Sus scrofa: one gene and its partner. The protein of the gene in region 2 binds, or shares a complex with, the protein of the main gene of each other region. Links are inferred from orthologs where the notes say so. Each region holds a gene or a part of one and is shown on either strand. Other genes may lie near its edges. The genes, in order: HOMER1 and GRM5.

What was found.
Region 1: the proteins of GRM5 (region 2) and HOMER1 are in contact, whole or in part, in a crystal structure (PDB 1DDV), measured with the Rattus norvegicus proteins. The link is inferred for Sus scrofa from reciprocal best matches to the Homo sapiens genes GRM5 and HOMER1. Residues at the interface, in XP_006229721.1 of Rattus norvegicus: Thr1155, Pro1156, Pro1157, Phe1160; in NP_113895.1 of Rattus norvegicus: His12, Phe14, Trp24, Thr70, Ser71, Gln72, Lys73, Phe74, Gly89, Phe90.

What each region holds. Positions count from the first base shown.
Region 1 is NC_010444.4:88,243,194-88,247,687, reverse strand, and holds the start of HOMER1 (homer protein homolog 1), read left to right. Parts: upstream 1-1,682; 5' UTR 1,683-3,338; coding exon 3,339-3,352; intron 3,353-4,494. UniProt on the Homo sapiens protein: Postsynaptic density scaffolding protein. Binds and cross-links cytoplasmic regions of GRM1, GRM5, ITPR1, DNM3, RYR1, RYR2, SHANK1 and SHANK3.
Region 2 is NC_010451.4:22,435,294-22,439,675, forward strand, and holds the start of GRM5 (metabotropic glutamate receptor 5), read right to left. Parts: upstream 2,908-4,382; 5' UTR 2,734-2,907; intron 965-2,733; exon of another isoform or gene 576-964; intron 526-575; exon of another isoform or gene 180-525; intron 155-179; exon of another isoform or gene 42-154; intron 1-41. UniProt on the Homo sapiens protein: G-protein coupled receptor for glutamate. Ligand binding causes a conformation change that triggers signaling via guanine nucleotide-binding proteins (G proteins) and modulates the activity of down-stream effectors.

The DNA of each region.
Region 1 (4,494 bases), on a different chromosome or scaffold from region 2:
GGGCTATTTGGGAGACGGACTGTATGTGGTATATGATGTTTTTGACTTTGGCCTGAGGTTTTTATAAGAACAAAACAGTGATTATAGGTAGCATGTTAGGATGTAATTAGGTAATTCTTAAAAACAATGAACAATAAGGACCAATTATATAGCACAGAGAACTATATTCAATATCTTCTAGTGGAAAAAATCTGAAAAAATTATATGTTCTTTCGATTATAATGTGTACAGTTGAATCACTTTGCTGTAAACCTGAAACATAACAGTGTAATCAACTATACTTAAATTAAAAAAAAAGAATCATAAACACTACACATATAAAAAAAGATTTTCATTGATTGCATTATGTAGACCCTAATCCTTTTAAAAACATTTATTGATTCATTTTTTTCTTTCATTTGTAATTTTCTTGACTCTAGAATTATTAAACATTCACAACATACTTGTAGACCTGTCATGAGCAAATAAGCATACACACAAAAATACCCTTTTCAAAGTATAAATATATGAAAGGTACCTTTAGGGGAACTTCTTAATTTTGGTTCTGTACACTAATTTATTAATTTAATAATTTTGAGGTGAAGTCACAATGTAAATCTGACTGCGGTGACTTTTCTCCTTGGGGATTAGAGAGTCATGAAAGTTGATTTAGAATAATTACCAGACATGTTAGTCATGGCAGTTAAGAGACTGACAAAAGTATCATTATACATGGTTTGTAAACTCAGTTTAAAGTGATTAAATCTCTCAAAGGAAAAGGTGGTTAAATCTCAAAAGGTCTAATCTCCCTTTTACCATGTGTTTGGGTTTTTTTCCCCAGGCCTTTGGTGTCCAGTTGATATATTTATCTTTACTTACTTGATTTTTGTTGTTGTTGTTTTGTTGTTTAGGATTAATCCAACTCATGAGATGAAAGAGTAGGGAAAATGAGTTCCATGTATGAAATATTTCCTGATAGAATTTTTAAGTGACTGAATAGAAGATATTTTAAATAGCTTTATTTCTCAGTTAGTTAGAATCTGTTTAGTTGAGTGAAATGTACAGCTTCTTGTTTGTGTTGCATGTTTGTAGTGACCTGCGGGGCACAGAGTAAAGTGACCTGTATTTTGCAAGATTCATGAAAAAAAACGAGATTTTTCCTAGAGATCAAAAAAACTCTGTTGAAGTTTGGAAAGTTGAGTGCCTTTTGAAACAATATAAGGTTTCAGGCTCAGGAGGTGTTTTCATTTCAAAAGCATTGCTGTGTGATAAGCAGTATTTCTATACATTTTAGCCCATCTACAAAAACCGAGGTGAAATTTTCAAACCTTACCGAGCATTGCAAGAGTAGGTAAAACCCTTGAAAGGCTAATCACTCATGGTCTTCCACATGTGAATAAAATCGTTAGTGTCTTACTTTTAGGCACAAACAAATCTGAATTTTTCACAACATACCTCTCTGTATACTATAAAATTAAGACGTCCATCATCACTCTTTTTTTTTTTTTTTTTTTTTTTTTCTTTTTAGGGCTGGCTGCACCCACAGCATATGGAAATTCCCAACGAGGAGTCGAATCTGAAGCTGCAGCTGCCAGCGTACACCACAGCCACAGCAACCCAGGGTCCGAGCCACATCTTTGACCTACACCAGAGCTCACGGCAAAGCCGGATCCTTAAACCCACTGAGCAAGGCCAGGGATCAACAGCATCCTCATGGATTCTAGTCAGGTTTGTAATCCAGAACGGGAACTCCCAGTATCACTCTTAAAAGAGATTTATTGGTGAACTTGTGCTCTTAATTGTAGCTTGATTTTCCTTTTTTCATCTGTCAAAAGTCTAATAACACATTGGTCATTTCTATGCTCCCTAATAAAATACCTGATAAAAAAGATGAAATTGACAACTATCAATGCTGCTTGTTATAGGCAACATTTTTTTAGGGGAGAGGTTGAAATTAATCACGTCTTTGTTATCTTTTGGGGGGGCTTGTCATGACCCTCCACTTGTATTTTATTTATTTCTCATTTTGTTTTTAAAAATTTTCAAAAATCTCACTTCTTTGGTAAGTACAATTGAGTAGAACTTTTATGGGGCAAAATTAAATTACTTTTTAGTGACCTTACAAAGGAAAAAACCAAACTATTCTTTCTCATGAGGTTTTTTTCCCTATGATTAATTGTTAACCCATTATGACTCTTGCATAGCTAAAAGAATTCTAAATATGTAAAACTAACATTTGACTTAGTTAAGATCTGAGTTTCATTAATACGTAACTATTTTATCTAAGGTAGGCTACTAGATGAAAGCAAAAAGTCACTGTTTTCTTTTTTATATCAGAAAATAAAATTATTTATAAAATCCAAAAAATTAGCAGTCTAATCAATACTCTGTCTTCAAAGTACAGTTTACCTTTGCATTTTCTCTAGCTTTCGAAAATTCACTTTAAACCCTTAACACTTAATATTTGCTTCAAAAAATAGTTCTGCTTTATGAACATTTTCTTTTAATGTTCTCCCATAAAACATGAAGCATTTCTATGTTATCTTTGAAAAGAGTTGGCACCAGTTCCTTAAGGCAGAGCTGTTTTAAGAATTGAGGGCTTTTTGTAAAATTACCAAGTTAAGAGTTAGGAATTAAACACAAACAGAAAACCATGCTAAAGGATCACAGATACCAAAGCAGCTTTCATTCCTTTATAAGGTCACTTTAGGTTATGTTTATTTATTATGTCGTGTCTGTTGGCACAACTGGATCCAGGAGTTCACATGCCTGAGTCCAGAGGGCTGTAGCAGAGTGTCCTTGACCCCACCCCACCCATAGAAGGGCTCGCTCCTAATTGGTCCCTGTCAGCGGGCAGTGATAGGAGTGTAGGGAGAGCCCCAACCCCGGTCTGTGTCTCTCTGGATACCATACATTGATTCCTTAAACACTGAGTTCTTAGTGGAGCACACATATACAGTGTAAATTGAAAGGATCTGGGGAATTAGATCCCATTTTGAGTGTACAGAAAAATCCTGATTCCTAGCAATTTGGTATTAGCTGGATGCTCCAATTATTTTTCTGATCATTTTTCTCAATAAATTGTTGGATCCTTTCACCTTTATCTTTAAGCATGCCTCGATCCTCCTTAAGTAGTGTTGCCTGCCTTCTGTTTCCTTTCCGAAGTTTAAGGTTGTTCTGAATAAGGCTTTTTTTTGCGAGTTGGAATTTTCTGCCCTAGTTACTTTCAGTTTCCCCCATTAGGTTCTACATAATGGTCTCTAGGAAATTATCTTAAGTGGATTAGACTATCAAAGAGCTCAAAGTATTCATGTTGGAAAATTTCTGTCAGTGTTCCTTTGTGGAAGAGAAGTCTGTACATGACTGAATTTAGGTAGGACAATTATTTTGAACCAACTGTAATACTTGAGTGGGCTTAACCTATCCTTTTGCCTTTTTGTGCTTACTTTTTGCTTACTCTTTTGTAAAACTGTCGTTTTCTGCCCTACTCTGTAGTTATGAATCTCTATCATCTGGATTTTAGCGTTAAAATTCATGTGCTTTGCTTAATCACCCTGCCAGCTCCCAAGATGTTTACAGAATGAGGATTCCACCTACTCTTGTTTACTCAGTGTTACCAGGGATCTGTATACATTCGGCTGAATGGGAAGACTCCCAACTCACCCGGAAACTCATCTTTCAGGTTCTTTTGTGCTAAAATAAATAAATAAATAAATAGTTTTAGGTCTTGCAGGCTGCCTTTTTGCCTAGTCAACTGATAATATATAGAATTTTAGTTCCCTGTTTTCAGTGTTGCTTTCATTTAGTGTTTTATTGATGCTAAGTTGATATTTATTGCTATCCCTAAGTTAATGTAGGTGAAATAAGACATTAATGGCAATATTGCTGTTTAGTTTTACTTAGTAGCGTATTAGTATATTCAGAGTAGTTAGTATATGCTCTCTGGGTAAACTATAGGCTGTTCATCTGGTAGGAAGCTAGCCTGAAAAATGTTTTCAAAGATGGTGCAGTGGTCAGTTAGAAATGATTATGCAAAATTTTGTATTCTCACCTATATAAAGTGCATTCTATGTATGTGTACAAAGATTTGAAAGACATTCCTTAAAGTGTTACCTTGTTTATTTCTGGGAGGTATGATTGTGAAATTTTGTTTTTTGAGTATTTCTAAATCTGTAAGTTTCTCTGTGATTCATGTATTCACTTCTTTCTTGGGTTTTAAGGGTGAGGATATTAAAAGTGCTAATATCTACGATACAAAGTTATCAGGATCAGTCACTGTTCCTACGTATGGATAGATGCTTTTATGTTTGTATCAGTTTTAGCTTCTTTATCTAATACTTTTTTTTCTGTTTCAAAATTGGCTAAGGAAGTAATTACTCCAATGATAGCAAAAATGGTTTCTTCTATAAAGAGTAGTCTGGCTGTCAGTTACCAGAATGTTGGTAATGCACTTTTTATGGGTAAGGAGCCAGAGCCAATGAGGAAATGTTACTTAGAGGAGGTTATGCAGGGGCA
Region 2 (4,382 bases):
GGTAATGAGCAGGCTTTGTGCCCGAAGGGAAAGCTACTTACACAGGAGAGGAAAGAGCGGGAGGGCGCAGACTGGGGTTCAGAAAGAGGTACGCTAGCCTGAGTGAAAGCACTGTGCTTTCAGCACCACCCGCTGTCCCCCCTCTTCCAGCAGCTGGCGCCCCGGTCGCCGCAACTAACCGATCTCCCGGGAAGCGGTTCTCCTTCCTCTTCCTCTCCACCTTCGCTCCTCTGAATTCGGAGCCCTCGGGTGGTTCGCGGGAGGCCAGTCTGCAATCTAAACGCCCGCACCTGGCCTTAATGAGCGGGAACTCGTATCCGAAGGCATGCAGAATCCCCTTCTCAGTCCTTGCGGCCATTCCCTTCTTTATCCCATTGCTCTTATCCTTCTCCCCAACAGGTTTAACTGAAGCCATCCACAAATGGAGCAGACTTCAGCCTCGAGGCTCTGGCCACCCCCGCTCCACCCTCGTCCCCCTCCTCCAAACCAGACAGTGAGCTACCCAACAAGCTGATAGCTGCCACATCCTTCCCCTCCCGGGAACACTTGGGCACACAGACACTTAGCAAGCTTACCCCCCTGTTGGCCGCACAGCGGGCGGTGAAGTGCGGTCTAGCTAGCCCCCCATAAAGTTGGGCCCCTCGGATCAGCGGGGCAGAGCTGGCCTCTCCAGTCCCGGGCTCCCCCACAAGATGATCTTAAGCTCATCTTCTGCGCTCAGTCTGCGCAGAACAGCAGAGCTGAGGGCGGCGGCGCGTGCAGCAATCTCCCTGTTACTGAGAAAGGGGGGAAGGGGAGAAGGGGAGAGCGCGGAGGAGGGAGGGGTGGTAGTTTGTATTTATAGAGAACAGAGTTCTCAGCGCAACTTTTTGGTGCCACCAAGTGGCACAGTGAGTTCCTTTAGGAACACAGACTTCGGGTGGAATCCGGATGGGTAAAGCAGCTCCACAGCCAGATGTTCACATGTGGGGGGACTGGGAAACATCCCCAAGGCTTGGGTTTTCCCACGGATGCTTTCTCATCTCCATGCCTAGGACTCAGATCCTTAAATTCTAAGGAGGAGCTTGTTGGGGGGTGGGAGGGGGGAATGTGCACCTGTTCCCTCTTCAGACAAGTGGCAGAGGTGTCAAGGACACTGAGCAGATGCCGGTAGCCTTCTAGGAGTCTAGGGACCCTTGTGTTGGTTAGAATGTTTCTTGCCCTCTCCCAACCCTTCTGTTCAGATTACGGTATTCTCAAATCTCACTCTTCAACAATAGTTATCCTGAGAACCCAACCTCTAAGGGATGCCATTCATTTTCCTTCTGCTAGAATCAATTCCAGATGACTTCCCAAACCCTCATTCAAAGAGCATCACGGCTTGCCACCAAACCCCCTTCTTTAATTGCTACCTTTTAAAAAGCATGTGACTTCAGGCTCTGTGGATCGGAACCTCTCCAAACAGCACTCAGAACTCCAGGTTCTCTTGGCTACAGGCTAGGTGTTTGAGTGTCCTTCTCACCCATTTCTACAGACCTCTTGGCATGCATTACACCAACAGCACAGCTAGGAGCTTGCAAATGCCTTTGCTACTTTGAGGGAGAATGCTCCAAAGCTTCCTTTATCTGGATTTTCGAGGTGCTCTTCCTCCCTTGTATGCAGATCCTCAAACCCATACAATCATAGACAGACATTGAGTGGGACCTTAATGTCCCAAAACACAGAAAAGCCTCTACATTTTGCAGACTGAGAAACCCAGTACACAGAGGTTAAGAGACTTGTTCAAGGTCACATATTTTCCTAGAGGCTAGCCCAGGGACTACCCAGGGTGATACTAAATGAAAACAGTGATGCCAAACCCGACTTTCAAGCTCCTGCTCCTTCTACCATCCCACACAGCCCATTCGGTCACATTCCGCTCCTTTCTCCACCCCGGCTCCCTCTGTATCCCTCTTTCTGACCCCACCTTTTGCCAAAGTCCCATAAAGGAACCTAGAGTAAGGATGTCTTCCTAACCCCGCTGGGAGTACATAAACTTGAGCTTAATAGGGCCAGAGTTGCAGGTGTTCCCCCTTAAAATGGCCCCTGTTCTAGAAAACCTCTCCTTCCCAGTAGTGTAGTCATGGAAGTGTCATTTTGGAAATGGAACACTGGCATTTACACCCAACCAGGTCCTTCTTTTGCTGTCTCTTTTCAGGGCGAAGCACCAGCAAATGCTCTTATTAGCCCCGAACCGACACCTAATGGCTTCAAAGATGGAGAAGCCCCCTCCCCTCCTTTGGTAAATGCACCCTTTCGTGCATATGTATCGGTATGCGAGAAAGAGAGAGATGTCCAAACGTTCCCTTTGGCTCAGATGTTGATTTTTTTTTCTCCTCTGATTTTTTTAGTTCGTTTTCTATGGAAACGAGCCCACTTAAATTCCTCACTTATGTAAATACAAGCAAAAAGATTTTCATAAACCTCGCCTTGGAGCGACGCCCCGGTAGCCTGGGCTCCCGACGAAAGAGTCATGTCTGATTCACACACCACACGTCCTTGTAGGGTGACTTTTCTAAACTTGCAGGACCTCACAGCGTCCCTGGCTCCACCAGTTCTCCACCTGCCCACCACCTGCCCTCCTAGGTCCCTGAGCCCAAGCTCCCGCCCCTTGCCGGACTGCTCTCCATCCCTGCGCTGGGGGAGGGGCCCCGGAGGTCTCCTACCTCCGCGGCGACCCTAGAGCCAAAAGAAAGAAAAACGCGCGGTGCTTACCAGGTGCGCGCCCGGAACCTGGCGCCCCCAGCCACTCGCTCCTCGCGGGCTCCCCGCGCTCTCGGAGCGGCCTGGGTTGCAGCTAGAGCGCTAGTGGTGGCGACGGAGGCAACGGAGGCAGCAGGCAGAGCGGCTCCCGGGCCCGCGGCGGCGGCGGCGGCGGCGGCGCCCGCGCTCTTGCGCCAGCGCCGGGAGCACGTGCCGCGCTCGGGCAGACGCAGCTGGCAGCGCAGCGCCGGGCGGGCTCCTGCTCCTGCAGCGCGCGGCGGGGGCGGGAGAACGATCGGGGCGCGCACTCAGTGGTTGACAAGGGTCTTGAAGCCTAGTAGTCATGGGGTTCGGGCGAGGGTAGCCTCGGGCTCCCTCTGCAGCTCCTTGGGAAGCCTCTGGGAGCCGCGGAAGGAGAAGAGCTATGCAGGGAGGCGTGGGTGGCGTGTCACTCTGAGAGAAGCTGGGGGAGCAGGTAGATAATCAGCTTCTTTCTGACGGTGGCACTTAAACCCCTGACAATGATTGGGAGAAGGGGCGTCTCTGCTGGAGGGGAGAAGGTACCGGGAAGTCAGGGAACCCCAAGATGATTCAGAGGTGTGAGTGGTTAGAAAGAACGGTCTCTCTAATGGCATTACTTATTAATAATGCCATTTTGCATTTGTCTGCACCTCTTACAAATGAGTCTTTCTACATCCATTAAAATTTCTTCCCCCCCGCAGCAATTAAATCTTTTACTTCCTTAAATGGATTTGCTCCCCTTCTCACTACTACCCCTGAAACTGACCGAGATTGTTTAAAAAAAAAAAAATGCTGAGATTATCTTTGAATTCCAAAAGCAGTCTTCCATTCTACTTCCTCAAAAAAAAAAAAAAAGGTATAAATTAATCGTATGGCTTAATGCAAAGAAAGGAAAGGCCTTGCAGCAATATGATGTTTATTACCACCAGAGTTTCCCGAGCCACGTGCTTGCAGCAATTGGGTGAAAGGTTAAAAGATGAAGACACTGAAGTCAGGAGGTCGTTTATAATGTATACATTGCTAATGTAGATTTCCCACAAGACCCTTGAAAGCAAGGCAAGTTGTTCTTTGATAGCTTCAATATTCAACAAGAAAGAGATACGGATCTATCACACCTTGTTGATCTTGACAGTGGCATCTTTCTTTTCCCCGTTTTCATGTGTACTCTGACGGTGGCATTGTTCATTTTTGAGATTCTTCCATTGCAATCCACAAAGCAAGCTTTATGACTTTGTAGAGAGGCCAGCAAAGCTCTGGTTGATCCTCTTGCATAAGAAAGATGAGAAAGGTGGTATAGATGAGAAAATACAAAAATAGTGAGGAAAATTAAGGTGCATTAATGACTAGATGATTCTGGCCATGTGATTAAGTCTGATGTATAAAATGTTAGTCCATTGGCTGGGGCATAGGCCATGCAAAGTCATAGACTGGATCCTTGGGGAGGGGGGCGGGCACTTAGCTTTGAATGAACGTGGACCACAGTGTTTCCCATCCGTTTTCATCATTAAGAACCAGCTCAGAGCACTCAAGTGAGTAGGCAGGGCCTATGTAAGAAGGGGTTCTCACGGTGTTACTCAGCCGCTTAAACTCTTTCCATTTCCTACACATATTTCCTGCCCTTCTTTCTCTGAGGGTTGTGG